Linked DNA regions of Drosophila melanogaster. The protein of the gene in region 1 interacts with the protein of each later gene in a pairwise test. Each region holds a gene or a part of one and is shown on either strand. Other genes may lie near its edges.

Region 1 (7,189 bases):
CTTTGAATTATACAAACATTTTTCTTATATTTAGCCGGCTTTAATGCGCCCGATTTCCAATTTTATAGGCAATAGGTAATATATTATTTGTGCAATACCATCTTTTTAATGTTCAGTTAATTTACTAAAAGTATCTTACACTTTCGTTAAATATATATATCTAGCTATTTTACTAGTATTCCGAATATGTACAAATGAAATGTATTAAATTAAATTTGCAACAATTTCATTACCATTACTTTCGTTTTTTACACTTCATCAAGAGTCAGTCGTTGGTCCAATAAGCTCCTCTGCAGTTGTACATTCGACACATGTCATCTAATCCTTTTACGCCCATAATATCCTCACAGGAAAATGTACTCTGTTTGTTAATTGATTTGCTGGAGCTCGTTTTGACCCACTGGCCGATGGGTTGAGGGGGAGCCGGTGGGGCGTGGCGCGGAGATGCCATTCTACGCACTTGTGTGCGTGGGCCGTTGCACGTAGGCCCATCGGTGAAACTGTGAATGTGTGTCAGTGGCCCGTCGCTGATTGGTCCGCTGCCCCCTAAGCGTCACTCCGAAGACGAGCGGTTCCGAAGCGCTCTGGCCAATCGGCGAGCGGCCAAGAAGCTCCAAACGTGAGGCGCGGAGAGCGCCGATTCGAGTGAAAGAGCAGAGCGCAACAGGTTCCCGCTCTCCACAGAGAACGAGTGAGAGAGGGAGAGGGCGAGAGACAGAGAGGTACAGTGTGCGGCCAGCGACGAGAAGAGGAAGATGAAGAACAGGTTGTCGAGCGGAACATTGTGTGGACTTGGATTTTCATTCATAACCTCAGCTCGCTGCAGCAGAGAAAATGCTGCTGCGCCTGTTGCTGCTGCTGCTGCTGCTGCGGCGGCGGCCTCTGCCGCTGATTCAATTCGCTGCGGCGGCAGCTTTTACAGCTATCGGTTTTCGAGGCGACTGACGCCATTGCCACGCGAACGGCTCTGCAGTCCCAGCCCAATCCCTAGCTGAATCCGAATCCCCGAGTCCCCATCCCACGCACCACCATCTTTGATCGCTCCTGACCATCCGATCCGATTACCCCCAAAGAATGGGGAAGCCAGTCAAGTGGCAACGGTAAAATTGGTCCTTTGGTGCCCCAACGAAGGCAACACAATACCCCAAACGATATATGTACGTAGGCATGCTTTAAAAAAAAAATAAATAATGGTCTCCTTGGCTGTTAGTTTTGATAGAACCCTTTTTAAGAAAGTAGCCCTCTACTTTCCCTCTGCAGACCTTTTTTGTAGCCCTATCAAGCTTTTCGATTCTTTTATGCAGGAAGCAGAACTACCATGCAGAAACTACAGATAGGAATGATCATAAAACATTTCCGATAAGCCGCCACTGGGGAGATATCACACTTTTTTACCGTGTACAAACTGCTTTGTCACATGCAGAGATCACACGACGATTGCCCGACATTTTGCCTAATGGTCCATGAGTCACAGCCAGACGGCTGTACGGTACTTGGGGTTTTCTTAACAGCCGCGCTGTGGAAAACCTCGAACCGATATATATGTATGTACATACATCTATCTATGTATCTATCTATCTATCGGAACGTGCCCCGGGCACGAGCTATAAACGACAATGGGGTGGGTCAGGGCAGGTGACGAGTCGGGCCAAAAACGGAATCTCGCGCATACTTCCCCAGTATTTCCGATTTGGGGGAGTGGTAATTGGGTTGCCAACTTCAAGCATTGGAGGTCATAAACCCGCGAGTCCCCAAAAAAAAAACAGTGAAAAATCAAAAAACCCTAAGTATTAAGCGATTTACTTAGCTAGCTATGCAATTGAGAATTATACTTTGAACTCTACCTTTGATTTGTTCCATTTCCACTTGTTTCAATTCATGGAAACATCTTATGACCACCCATGCTTTAATCGATGTTGTAGACCTTCGAAAGGTTGGCAGAATTCCCACCGTTGACTAAGCCCCCAATTCGTTGTAACTTAATTTCATCTGAATGATGAAATTGGTCAACCAGAAAAGAAAAGCACTTCACGTATGCGCCTATCGGTATAATTTATTAATAGTCATTGTAATATTGTAAATATATATAAAAAAAATACACTTAAGTAATAGTTTTCATAAGTTATCGAGCCTGCGATGCGGTGAATGTGTTCAGTGAGTATGGTGGTACGCGTATGTATATAAATAGGATGCAAAGGCGATATAAATACGTATGAGGGCAATGGGGATTTAATAAGTTATAATAAATAATAGGGTCTAAGGCAGATGAGGGTGTCTAGTAGACGAATACGGATCTGGATACTCGTGGGCATAGCCTATTAGCTTGAGATTGCAGTGGGTCATCGGAGGCGATTATTTTTGGTATGGCTTTTACTGCTCCTCTGGAGCGTCCAACTCTGTCCAGCGGATTACTGATACAGCTTGATCAGCTGCTCGTACTTGTGCTCGATGATGGTCAGCACCTTGATGGTCTCCACGGCGGCGCCAAACATCGGCCATATGTGATCGGCATTGTACTCGGCGTTCCTCGGATTGCAGGCATCGTTGAGACCGGCGACCTTGAGAGCCTCGTGCATGTTGTGATGGAAGAAATGCACGAAGTTATTGAAGTAGCAGTTCCAGGACTGGTGATCGAACACAATGATCTCGTATAGATGCTCCAGGACCAGCAGGGACTCGATAATGGCCGGCATCTCCTCCTGCAGCGTTGTCACCTTGCCACTGTACACAAAGTCACCCAGCTGGTTCTGGAACTTAACTTCCTTGACCTCCGACTGGAGCGGATGCTTCAATGCCAGGGAATGCAGAGAGTAGGAGTGAAGATCTTGGGGCAGGGTGTGGTTTTGATTCCTCAGCTGTTTCGCAATGAAAAAAAATGGGAAATGGGAAACTTAGTGCCTCTGCTGCCGCAAGTCCATCGTTCTAGCTAACTTACCCATTCTTTGGTCAGACAGAGGACCGCCTCCCGCGTATTCTTGGCCACCTCGAGCGCCACTTGCAGGTGTTCGATATTGGGAGTCATTTTAAGGTCCGTGCACTGCTCCCTGCCTTCAGTCTGATTGGTTAACAGGGGCACGATCTTGGTGCTTATTGACCTGGTGTGCTGGTGGTGATGGTGTAGTCGTGCGTGATTGCGGTGCGGCAGAATCAGGCTCAATCCTCGAGCGCGACGCGGTGCGGCAATTGTCCCCGTTGGCCAACTAGTGGCGACTGTGAGTAGCAGCAGGATGCCCAGGAGCCAGCACTTGGAGGTAGCTGCAATGCAAGAAGATGGAAGGTCAGTAAATAGGATTCATACAAAGATGTTCAAAAGATCTCCCTAATCCTGATGGATGCCCAGGCTTGGCCAATAAGATAATGATGATTGAAAACTTCAATGCCCAAGATCCCTATCATTTGATGAGCACTTTCCTGTTTGCCCAGCGATGACACAGTTATAGATACAAAGATACAGATAGAGCGACATGATTCAGAGGCGCTAGATCTTAATGCACACTTACAAATGCGACCGATGATGTTGGATTGCTGCTGGCAGGACGCTTTTGTCGCCGCCGGAGCACTCTGCTCCTGCTCCTGCTGCTGCTGCTGCTGCTGTAGTCGCTCCAAGAATTGGAGCTCGAAGGATTCACTGGCACTGCTGTTGGCGGTCATATTTTGATTTGATTTGTGATGTTAGGCACACACGGTTCGGAGAGTATGTCTTATTGGTTTTCGATATTTGGCCAAGATTCAGATTGAAAGCGCGCTAAAGAGCTGGATAGCTGGATAGCTGGAGAGCTGGGGCTGGCGTGCGGGCTCTGCGAGATCTTACGGTTAATGAGGAGTTGGGGCACACGCCGGCGATTTAAATACAAACCGGACCGCCATCCGGCGATATCAGTAGCCGAAGCCGCACGAGCGGCGCAGCGCGTGGCCGAGCTTACTTTTTTTACGCACACACACACATACACGCGCGCGGGCGGCGGGTACTCACACTTGTTGTGCTCGTTGTAGCGACAAGTGAACAACAACAACAGCAAGCAGCAAGAGCAGCAATAGCAGCAACCACAGCAGCAGCAACGGCAGCATCAGCGGCCGATGGTCGATGACGATAATGAATCAAAAAAACAACGGCCCGCAAAGGGAGTTCGAATTTGGGTTTTCTCAATTATCGGAGGTGGGGGTGAGTGGGTGAGTGGGTGGGTTGGCTTGGCTTGGCTTGGATGGGCTTCCTGACTCAGCCGGGGATTAGCTACTCCCTGGTCAGTAGTTCATGCCGCTGTTGCAGCGCTGCACATGACGTTTTGTTTTCTTCCTGTCTTGCGGCAAATGAGTTGCCAACCGTTGTAATTTATGCACACACGCTTCATGGCCCAAAACGGATGTCGCATTGCATTCTTGCACCCTACACCAAGTAATCGGGCATCTTGGTTGCCAACTGGCATTAGGCTGACCTTACAATCGCAACATTGAATCCTTATTTAAATTGCCTGCCTGGAGGACGACGACTGCAAACATTTTAGTTTAGCTCTGTCTATGAGTGGCTTTTAGTCACTGTTTAACGACACATGCCAATTGCTCTGTTTGTTAGCTGATTAATACATGTTTGATAGATTCTTGGAATTTGTTTGGTATACATATTCCAAACTCAGTGTTCAAGCTAACAGAGTAACACCCAAAGCAAAAAGCTCGAGGCAACATTTTGACAACAAACACATTTTTTATGGGGAATTTCACTGTTCTTGTACGAAATTTGATAAGCCTGATGCCTGAATACTGAGCTTTCCGGAAATTGTAATGGCTATATGTAAATTCAACATTGGTCTCAATGCCCATCAGGCTGAATTAGCCAAAGTGGAATCGCGTTTACTTTGATTAATTTGCGAATATCTCGTGTCTCTTAGCTGCTGTGGCGGCGGCGTCACTTCGGATTCTTCAGTTACTCGATTTACTGTATTTACTTTAACTAAGTGGCGATTTATGATGCGGGTGCCACTTGCCTGGCAAATGACGCGTCGTTCCGTAGGCATTTCCGATCGATCGCTTGGCACGTGCGCGTTTTGCATGCAACTGACTGGCAATAGCCACTTGGCCGCTGGCCGCTGGCCGCTGGTCGCTGGACTTGGCCAATTGATCGAGCACTGGGTATAAGAGACACCGGCAACCGGCAGACAGAGTGTCTGTCTCTTCTATGGCCAGTGCACAGTAGTGCACAGTGCATCGAGCAAGCACATAACCTAGCCCAACATGGCACTCACACTTTGACATAGCAATTACTCATAAAGACGCACGTAGTTCAACCCACTCATGGGACACAAAGCTCATGGGAGTCGTATTCCCTTGTCGAGTTTTCTGCGTAGTATTTCATCAGTTGGGCAAATTTTTCGAGCTTTGTTTTTACCCAATTGCTCTGGGCAGATCCATAATTGCCAACTTTTCCGGAATTCGAGCTGGAGGCCATGTCCAAGGGTTTTCCAATGCAGTTTGCCCGCTGTCAGTCCAGAATTGCATTTGTTCAGCGCTAGATGGGTGCCTTCTCCTTTTGATTCGATATGTATTGATTTCCTCCTCTTTATTATTATTATAATTTATTTTTTTTTTTTTTTGCGCCCATCCAGGCATTGTTGACTGTTAATTATCGCACTCGAGGAGGTGCTAACTTTGGCCACGCACTAATCTCGGCCTGAACTCGCTAAACTTGCAACGTCATCCGGTTTGAGGGAGATCCGCTATCTATCGCTCGTTCCTGTTTGCCATTCCCTTTTTAGAAATGACCATTCCATTGATGAGCTCTTCCAGAGTGACGTACGACAGTACTTAGTACTCAGCGTAGTAAAAAGCTGCAAACATCCCACACTTACAGCGACGGAAATATCGCTCAGACTTATCGCCTCAGCCAGGCATATAATATTTAAATTTAGCAAATATACCACCAAGATGCACGTGTAAGTTCATTGTGTAAGTTCTCGTTAGCCAAATGCACACGCGACAGAAGATAGTGTTTCCTTCAAAGTTACATTTTTCATAAAGTTACATTTGTTAACATTAAACAGATACAGTGTTTAATGCAACTCGGATATGAACAATATATCAATCAGTTTCTAGATCTAATTTGCCACACAGAAGACAATTTCAGATTGTATGGCATTATAACTGATTATTTTATATTATATATAAAGTACATAAACTACCGGGAAATCATATATAAATAATAGCTTAAATTTCAATTTAAATTTGCATCATCTGAGAGTCAAGAAAGGATTATTTCTGCAATCTTCCTTATACTGTTCTAATTTGGCACACTCAATGTGGTTGATGTGTGCGATATGCCAAGGTTAATCATTCGATTATTGGGAGATTACCATTCGATTTGCATTGGTTTTATTATACTCTAGAAGTAGCCGTTACTGATCTTTCTCGTTCTGTACGCATCGACTTAAATACTTAATGTTTTATCGCTTGGAATGGAATTTACTCCATTCAAATAGAATTCCCACTGTGCCAACTTCCACATAATTGGTGTATGGAAATACAGTGGTGGAAAGACCGCACCTTAGTTAAGATCGAAGTGAATCAGGGCGTTTAAAACTAAGTCCTCAATGGCACCAAATGCCAGTTGCCATCGACTACCCTTGACCGAATAAAACGGTCGGTGACGTGAATGTAGAATCTAGAATCGCCATGAGGAAATACCCCAATTCGATGGCCGTCACCTGTCATCTGGGAGTGGGCCGAACTGACCACAGACACTCTGGCCGGCTTGATATCATACATATGTCTATAGCTGGATGGGTAAATCACCGAGCGACGTTGCTCCGTATTTGCGTTTGTGTTTAGAAGCTGCCCCGACCCGGCTCTCTTTCCCGTGCCAGCACCCCAGCTCTCCGGCTTGCCGCGTCACCTCCCATTCAGGCCGGATCGCAGTGTCGACTATCTCTCGGATCACGTATCTTTGGAGACATGGGCACAGACCGGCTGAACGACCGAGTTTCCGACCAAGTTACCAACCGAGAGAGGGGCGCACACACTCACTTATTTGCCCAGCGCATTATATTATGAATGGAGCGCTGTGGGAAGCACTTGGGCAGAGTCTTACCGCCCATCAAAGGCAAAGGCAAATGCGGTACGAAAACAAGGGGCTCGGACAGGTGAGAGAAGTGCCTATTTTTGGCACTGGCCATCTTCCACAAGTCATCGAGGTGCGAGCTGT
Region 2 (9,570 bases), on another chromosome or scaffold:
GCTGCCCGAAAGCAAAACAAAGAGCGATGGCCGCATCAGCTGATTGCCCCGTTTCATTGCCATTCCCGTTCATTTTGCAGCGGAGGCTGCGCACGGCTCTCTCGCTCTCTTCTATCCATTTCATCTACACTGGAAATAGCACGGGTATATCTATTCCTTAAATTGTTAACGAATTTCGCAATTGTTTCATCTGCGTAATTAGTATTAAAGGAAAAGGCAACATAAATATGAAACCAAATGTAAATGGTTAGTATTTGAATAACAGCCATTTGTGAAATCAATCAATATTTTTCTTTCTGTGCAACCCAGAGAGCGAGCAGAGCAGCGATGCTAATCCAAAGATGCCAAGTTTGATAACGTCCTCGTGTTTGCATTTTGAATTTATGATATGCATCTTCCAGTTAAAACTTCAACCAGACGTGCGGCTGATGCTGGTTGTTTGGGAAAGAAGAAGTAATACTAAATAGGGGAATCAACAAAAAGCCATTAAGACAGATTTTTTTTAGATTAAAGGGGTTTCTTCTTCAAGATACGTATGTACATCTTTAATTGTTGAACAAACGAAAAAGTATTTCATCATTCGATATTATTCCTTTTTTTAAGTTTTAAAATTTATGATAAAAATAGTAATATGAAAATGATAGACTTAAATACGCTTAAAAAACTACTTCATATATGTACAAGATTCATGGGATATAATATCTTGGAATCAATTGCAGATGTAATATTATAATTATCTATTTAATGAATTTTGCAATATTCAGCCGAGCATTTCTGGCACCTGTTTGCAAAAAGAAAAGAAGAGGATCGATGGTTATAACCAACAAGTGCGCCGTGTGACTTGATATTCTGTTGATATGTTCCACTATCGTTACACAAAACCCAGAGCTCTGTTATGGTTCCGTTCTTGTAGTTATATTGATTATTTGCTCGGTTCCATGGCCTTTGGGGTGTCGTATACTCGTATGTGTTTTAATAGTCCAAGTGCCGCCAAGCCTTCCGTTGGCCATTCTGTGTGATTTTGGGGCTCCGGCCTCGAGGGGATTTTGTAGCTGAAACTCACGAAAGCCCCAAAATGAGTGCTGTCCCCTTGCTCCTTCACGGTGGTTTCACGATTTTGGGGTTTTCGTTGGTCGTAGCTTTAACTTTAATGGCAATTAGGGCCCAGAGCGGCTAACCTGCTATTAGTGATTACGGAATGCTCGGTCCCACTTCAAATTCAGTTAGCAGATGTGCGTGCGGCACAAGTTTCCGTTGCAATTGGTAAACTTTGTCTGCATTCTATGCATACAAATACAAACAAGAAGCCGGGCCAGATGAAGATACACAGCCTTTCAGATACTAATCCCCTGATTCTACATGCCTAAGATACACGATTAGATGGTCGTCCGTGTTGTTCCTTAGACTTCCACTTCTTCAGAACTCTTTAAGCCGGAAAGATTTTAGCTAGTGGAATTGTTGAGTTAGTTTAGGTGTAGGAAAGAATAATGTAAGTCAAATAGACGAAAACTCTAATTCTTCGTTTTCCACCTCAACAATAAAACACTTTACTTTACCAGCCAGCTTGACCCATCTTCTCTGCATAACCGGTTCTTACCTTGTGGCCCGATATTGAAATCCGCCGGACACGTTTCAATGCAGCCTGCAGACAATAGTGCATGGAGGCTAGTAAGGGTCACTCGGCGATTTCCGATAGGTCGAGTATCCTCGCTGTTCTTCTTATTGGCATCCTCGTCCTGTTTCGCGCACTGTTTTGCATATTCCAGTGCTAATGGCCGGTTGGCCGGTTGGCCGCACGCCACTCTCACCTGAATGGCCTGGTTGGCTGGTTGGTCAGGTGGGAGCTCCTTCGTGCTGGCATGCCATTGAAAAACATCCCATAAACATTTTGCTCAGCCCGGTATTTAAAATGGCTGCATGCGAATTTTTAGCCAACACAACATCAAAGTTCAAAAGTGGCTAACTTAATTAATTTAATGTGTGGGCCAGCAATAGAATTTTCAAGGTCCTTTAATTACGGAGCTATAAAGTGGCACAGAGTAGTTTCCATTACACATATACCCTGTTTTTAATTTTCGATCAGTATAATTATTAATTTAACTTTTTAGGAATGAATTATGGGATTTAATTCCAAGATTCAATATGAAAATACCATGTACTTTTACCTGAGTAGAGCACTTCCATGGCGCTTTTGGTCTCCGGTGGACACCTGTGCATGCTAAGAGTCTCACCTGACAGTCTTCTGTTTGCCAAGTCAATTAGTGCAAGTGAACACTCTTCCCAAATGGGTACTAATTAAAAAACATTTTAAGTATCTTTGCGTGCGGATAAAATGAAGCGTCTAATCGTTTATGCTCTGCAAAAAAGGAGCAATACTCAACGAAAAACTATTGTTTTTTATTCCCTATTAGGTTAGAATATGTACGTTTTGGGATCTAGATAAGTTCTGCTTTTGATTTTGACTATACTTTTACGAACATATTTGAACAAACGTCAAAGGAAGTGGTCAGATTCAATGATTTACTGGATTTTGATTTTAATATCGATTACAGGGAACTCATTTTCCGAAGCATTTTTCTGACTCACAGATAGAAAAGAACATCGTTTTACGTTTTGCTTTTTAGTTAAACTGTATTTTTTTATTTATATTAGTACTGCCAAACTAAGTATAACTTAATTAGCATGCTATTAAATTTATTTATCATTTGTCTACATATTTAGTCCGATCACGTCAAATTTACTTTAAACACATTAAAAGTTGTCAAGATAGCTAAGATTGTATTAGTACATTACAAATGGAGTTCGTTTAGTCCCAGGGATGCATTCGGATCTTCTTCCGGGAAGGTGTCAAAATCAATGGTGATCGTTTTTTTCTGGGGGATGTGTCGCTTATATTCCACGCCCACTGCATCCAGCATCCGCTTGGATGCACGATATGTGGGCTTATCGGCATATTTGTCGGACAAATATAGCACCTGAGATATGCCCACCTGGAATACAAATAGGTTAATTTATATGTTATGATATGTATGTACTATATATTCTTGATCAATTTTAGAAGATGAGTTCATAAAGCTGCCGTCCGTTTGGTCGTCCTTTCGTTTTAACGAAAAACTTAAAACCTTTTTGAAGCCGTGAAACTATTGGAAAGATTGTGCTTCCATGTTTGTGATCATATATTGGTGTAATTTTGTACACAACCGTTGTTTTTCCATATATTAATTCGTTTTTCATTTTATCAAAATAGGACGACTAAATTATACAGCTGCCATATGAAAATATTAAAGTTGCATTTCAAATAATAGAACAGAAATCCTATATTCGGCTTCCTTCGTTAATATTAGTTTTACCTGTATAATGAGTTTGGCACATTCGTTGCACGGAAATAGTGTGGTATACAGTCGAGTTCCAGACAAACTCATGCCGTTGCTGTTCAGGATTGCATTGGCCTCCGCGTGGACCACGTACATCTTCTTGTCTTCCAGGGGATCAAATTCCTGCGAGCCTTTCTTAGCTTTTGACCACGGAAACACGTCATCGCTGCAGTTGCGAGGGAACCCATTGTATCCAATGGCCACTATCCGATTCTGGGAATCCACGATGCAGGCGCCCACTTGGGTGACGGGATCTTTGCTGCGTTTGGCGGAGAGCAGTGAGGTGGCCATAAAGTAGTCATCCCAATGCAGATATTCCTTTCTCTTGTGGCTTTCGGGTGACTTCGACAACTGGGATATCAAATCTTGAGCGGAAACTTCAGCCATTTCTGCAAAACAAGTAGAAAACCTTATTAAGCGATGGAAATAATTAAATTATGATTTCTGATATCCACTTTTCATTATCGTAATTGGTTTCTTTATGCGTATTTCATTCATATAATGCATACATTAAACCAGCTCTGCAATGACAAATACTTGCCTCAGTTGTCTGTATGTCTTTATTTTAATAATCATTTAATGAATGCAAATCCATACACAACCATATTCCATTTCCAACCCATTGATATTTCCAACACACATATATGATGAAAACAAGTTGTATGTGTATAACTAACTAGAGATAAGAATAATAAATGGTTTGTATAATGCGTTTTATAGAGCAATAAATATTATTTACAACAAAACTGGAAGTAATTAAAGCCCCTTGATGTGCAACCCTGCTTGATTAACAAAATGAACGAAAAAACACTTTAGTTGTCATATCCTTGGTTTTATTTTTTATTTGTTCTTTTTCCTAACTTTTTCATGTCGTTTTTCTTATTTTGTGTGATGGGGTATATGATAGTCAAGGAAAGCATGACAACTGTGTGCACATTCTTTATTGCATTCATTAGACAAAACGATGATCGCGGCTATGTTATAGCAGCAATAATAATATTTTATGTATCATAAATTGGAATATACAGCGAATACTTTCAATAATAATTTTCATATTCAACTCAATGTGGTTAGGCGAGTGCGTAATTAAAACTACCTAGGTGCTCTTCTGCACCTGGATGGGATTCTGCTTGAGGTGCAGGTAGATGGATCGCATGCGGGAGACGTCCTTTCCCGCCTTGTTCACCTTGGGATTGAAGTCGCAGAGCTTGGCTATGCGCTCCCATTCGGTGCCCGGCTCGATGGTGCCATTCTCCAGGGTGGCGGCTTGTTTCTCGGCATTCCGCGACGCCAGTTTGGTCTTCGATATGGACTCGCCAATCTGGCGCAACCAGTCGTCCAGCTCCTTCTTGGACTGCTGTCGGAGTTCCTCCTTTTTTCGCTCCTCCTCGATGTCCTTCTCCTCCAGTCGTTGCTTTTGCTCTTCGCGCCATTTGCGTATCTTTTCGGGCTCTTCCCGCGACGGCGGCGGACCGGATATGCCCACGGGTTCATTGGACTCGCCACCAATGACCTCAAAACTGCCAGTGGAGGATTCGAGGCCACCCGTGCCGCCAGCAGAGAGCAGATCGCCTTCGGAGGCGGTGCCTCCCAGAAGCTCACCCAAGCCCTCGTCTGTGGATGCAGCCGGAGGAGCTGATGCAGATCCACCCGTAATCTCCGCCTCCAAGTCCCCGAGAGCTGACTGTTCGCGCGCCAGGAACTCGGCCGCCGGATCCACGTCCTCCTTGGCAGCGAAATCGTCTCCGAAGTCCATGGCTATGTGCTCTCTGGAAATGTTGTGATTGCTATTTAGTGGGCGTCTCACCCAGATTTACACGTACGCAGAGGAGCAGCCAGCTGCTGGCGGATTCCCCCCGATTCATTGACAATTGGGCACTACGCACCTCTCCTTTGATTCGGTTAGGACTAATTGAAGATCGGTGTGGGCGGATGACTAACCGGAAACTTGGTCAAATGTATTTTTTCAGTTTTCTTTTAGCAATGAATACGTAAAATGACTGTCATTAGTACGTGAACCAACCATAAAACAGCGGGCTATCGAACTGGTTCCAGCCGAACAGTGCTGGATAATGCAACATATATCGCAACGCGATGGTTTTAAATTTAATGTTATGATTTTTATATTAAAAAATAAATATTTTTTTACACCAGTTATTATGCCAAATCTTTTAAATGTATACAAATTAGTAATATTTAAGGAACAGAAACCATTGTTAACTATTTTACTTGTCAAAGCCGAATTCAACATTCCTTAACATCACGGATAACGAGTTAAAGATTTAGCTACATTTTGTATTATTAAGCTACAAGTTTATGATAATGTATGTTGAAAAAACCAAAGTAAGAACATTTAATTTTTCCTTAACTAAACTTTTAAATTATATCAGCAGCGTCAATTTTCCACTGGGTTTCTGGTCAATTAGTGTTGCAAAATGTGTAATGGTGGTGGCTTGATTCGTTCATATATAATTTAGAACCGTACATATAGTTAATAAAACCTAGATTTAATATAATATTTAAGTTTGGAATTATTTTATTTTTTTTTTTGTTTTCAGATTTTGTAAAGTTCTCATGGTTTTTGAAATCAACTAGTTCCAATTGATCAGTGTTAGGAAACGCGCGAGTTCAGTAAACACAACCTTCAGAGGAGTTACGATTAATTTGTTTATATCTTATCAAATGTGCCTTAATAAATGCTCGTAAAATGTAAATACACAACAAAGTTAACTAGTAATGACTGTAGACCCGATAAAAAGCGTATTATACAACACTTGTTGCTATTGCATAGCACATGGGAATATAATTGCTGGTCAAATTTCACGGTGAATTGTTCACACAACATGACTTAATTATGTTTTTGACTAACCTATGCCACGAAGAACACAAGACGCAGTATACTTTTTGAGGAAATTAACAAAGACGAAATGCGAGGACGACGGCAAAACAAACAATAAACACTCGGCGCGCGAACTAGTGAACCGATGAACAAGTTCACCGTGGCATCATTCACCTGAGCCAGTGGTTCGTTTTTCACTGGCAGCAGAGCGGCCATTTTGGAGATTGTTTCATCCACAAAAAAGTTATGCACCGAATCTAAAAAAAAGAACGTTCGCTGTTAGTTAAACATAAAATCCGCTCGTGCATATTGAAGCGTTGTTGTGCTGGCCGATCCGATGTGAAGATAATGCTGGGCCCGAGCAGACCGACAGTTCCGATTCTATAACGACTAAAAGTTAGTGACTATCTTCCAACACGCACGCATGTACGCCCGTGTGTGTGAGTATGTGTGTGTGTGTGTGTGATTGTGTGCATGGATACATATATGTACAAGCGGAAAATACGGGAAAAAATCCTATTCCCAGGCAGAAAAACATTGCCAAAAACAGCATAAATCCCAGCCAATGTGATGGCCCCGTCATTGTAATGTCATAAGTGAGCACCCACATTAACCCATTGACGCTGAAACTTCAAAAATGCGGTCTCCTTGCCGCCGAGCGCCAAGGCAAAAAATACAGACGCCAATTTTTTTGAAGGGGGAACCAAGCGCATCGTGGCCAAAAGGGATACAAAAAAAATGAAGATACGAAAAAAATAGGGGGATCCCTTCAGTGCAGAAAAGTTGGGGAACAAACACCCCAAAACTGGAGTGTTTCATTCTAAAGTGTACTTCTACTATGTGTTTATTGATTTACAATAAAAGATAAACAAAATATGTTTGACCACATATAAATATCAATAATTTTATAGTAATTATTATTGATCCATAAATAACATTAATTGAATTCGCGCCTTTTTCCCCTCTATATTATGAATGCCATGGCAAGCAACTTGTGATAACAATATAAATATGTTATAATCTAAGCTACCGCTAAATTGATAAATATGGGCGGGATTTTTAGACTTAACACATGACCATTGGAAATGTATCCGAGCAATAATAAACTCCAATTAGTTAATCCTTTACATATAAGCCGCTAATTATATTCAAAAACCACTAAAGTTTTGCTATTTGTTTCAGTTACCAGCCATCAGCAGTAGAAGAGCCCAAGCCAAACATGGATCCCAATTCCAGTCCCTGGTCATACGCCTACAACCGCATCGTGCCCGCCAGTGCCGGAAGCTCCGGCGGAACAGCAGAGGACTTCCAGCATCCACACCTGGCCACCATTACGGCAGCAAGCATCGCCAGCTTTAATGCGGCGGCCGCCAGTGGTGGCAGCTTTGTGCCTCCGTCACCGATTGGCAGCTACAACCCAGTATTCCAGCAGATCTACCACCATGCGGCGGCGGCCAGTGTCCAGCCTAAGCCCGCCCACTATGCCTCGTCAGCGGTGAGCACGCCGCACCGCCAGCTGCAGCTGCCCAGTTCGCTGGACAAGCAGCTCAGTTCGTTCCAGAACCAGGCGGCCGTGTCGGCGGCAGCGGCTGCTGTAGTCAACAATGTTGCCTCGAACTATTACGGGGAGAACTCCTCGTCGAGTGGAGCCTCACCATCGCCCACAACGGTGGCCCTGACGTCGACGTCGCTGACCTGGAACACGCCGAACATGATATCGAACACCTTCCTGGCCATGCAACAGCAGCAGGCACAGCAGCAACAGCAGCAGGCACAACAGCAGCAACAACAGGCCCAACAGCAACAGCAGCAGGCGCAACAGCAACAGCTAAACCTGGTGGCCGACAAAGTGGTGAGTAGAATTCGTTTGTTTTACGTTCGGCTTTCAGATCACTCTTCTATTATGGTTTACGCCAGCTTCTGGGGAAGCACACACACTTATTAAAACCCCGCAGGCTCTATCGCATTTATCGCATACTAACATAACATCCCTTCCAATAAACCCATCAAAGCATAGACTAAGTCTAGCCTCTCTATGTCGAATCAATCCCAAACCAAACACTTTCCGATTCCGATTCAATCTATGTACGGTGCGCTGTAGCAGATTAAGCAGGAAAAGCAATTAAAAGCCTACAACGACTCGATTTACCTGATCCAACTGCAACAGCAGCAGCAGCAACAACAGACAGCGGCGCAGCAGCAACAGCAGCAGCTCCACCAGCAACTGCAACAGGAGATCGCCGAGGCAGACACAGAACCGGACACCTATTACACCATTGATGGCCGGAAGGTCAAGGTGACGCGGAAGGATGGCCAGCCGTATCGGGCAACGATAGTAGACCAACAGGATGCCAGTCCGGTGCCGCTGGCAGTGCCAGTTCCGGCGGGATCCTATCCGGTGCAATATGCCAGTCCGGCGCTAAGCTCCGCAGATGGATCGCCCATCACGAATTTACATGCGGTGGACGTGGTCAGCACACCGCAGGCCCAGGTGATCGTCTACAAGACGGCATCCCCTGTGCAAAGGCGGCAAGAAGCGGGCGCTGGATCGTCTGCTGCTGCCACACCCACCACGGTGGCCTACTCATCTGTGATACAAAGCACCCTGCAGCAACAGCAGCAGCAGCAGAACCTCTGCTGGACGAAGCTGGAGGACAATGGAGCGGGGCAGGAGGACATTAAGAACGTGCTGCAGCTGCAGGTGAAACAGGAACATCGGCAGCTCGATTTTGCCAGTGAGGCATCCTCAGTGGACGCCGGTGGTGGTGGCGAAAATCTAGTTTTCAACCTACCGCCCGGGCTGGAGATCAAGCAAACCTTCTATCCCGCGAGCGTGGTCGATGGGGAGCAACTGCAGCTGCAGGAGCACAATCAAAACCAATCCCAGTCCTCCGGTCGGCGCCAGCACGTGGTGGCCAACATGATCATGTCGCCGTCGGCGGGCAACTTAGCGTCACAGATTCAAGTAGTGCCAAAGGTTTGTATTTAATTTTTTTTATTTCCGTTTCTATTTGTTTATTAATTTGTTTGTGTTCTGCCTTTATTTCGTTTTATTTGCTTTTCACACTATTTCTTCCAAGATTTTGCCAACTTAAATGGACTAGTTTGGAAGATCTCTTATTTAGTTCCACTGTGCGCTTTTTCTTTCTGATTGGCTAAAAATAAATTTGAATTAACAAAACGTACCTTAACAGACTATTGGTAGCTTACATAAAAAATCTCATTTGGACGCAAAATTTCCAATATTTATTTTAATTAAGAATTTGAAACCTACATTTATAGAAGTACTAATTAGATTTTCTTGCTTTCAAATACTAGAAGTATCCAGTTTCCCGAATATAAGGTTATTTCGTTAAA

The links. Proteins that work in one complex are often made in the same cells at the same time.
Region 2: the proteins of CG6023 (region 1) and CG6951 interact in a two-hybrid assay, tested with the Drosophila melanogaster proteins (one large-scale study listed by BioGRID).

Annotation. Positions count from the first base shown.
Region 1 is NC_004354.4:18,312,082-18,319,270, forward strand, and holds CG6023 (uncharacterized protein), read right to left. Parts: upstream 3,821-7,189; 5' UTR 3,652-3,820; coding exon 3,501-3,651; intron 3,256-3,500; coding exon 2,936-3,255; intron 2,856-2,935; coding exon 2,409-2,855; 3' UTR 2,043-2,408; downstream 1-2,042.
Region 2 is NT_037436.4:20,238,358-20,247,927, reverse strand, and holds CG6951 (uncharacterized protein), read right to left. Parts: upstream 6,662-9,570; 5' UTR 6,388-6,661; intron 6,366-6,387; exon of another isoform or gene 6,244-6,365; intron 6,084-6,243; exon of another isoform or gene 6,025-6,083; intron 5,423-6,024; exon of another isoform or gene 5,131-5,422; coding exon of another isoform or gene 4,471-5,130; exon of another isoform or gene 4,193-4,470; intron 3,764-4,192; 5' UTR 3,762-3,763; coding exon 3,351-3,761; intron 2,991-3,350; coding exon 2,790-2,990; 3' UTR 2,616-2,789; downstream 1-2,615. Other genes in the region: Clc (clathrin light chain), read right to left, coding at 4,471-5,130; CG17233 (uncharacterized protein), read left to right, coding at 7,433-8,065, 8,315-9,190. UniProt on the Drosophila melanogaster protein: Supplies the nucleotide substrate for thymidylate synthetase.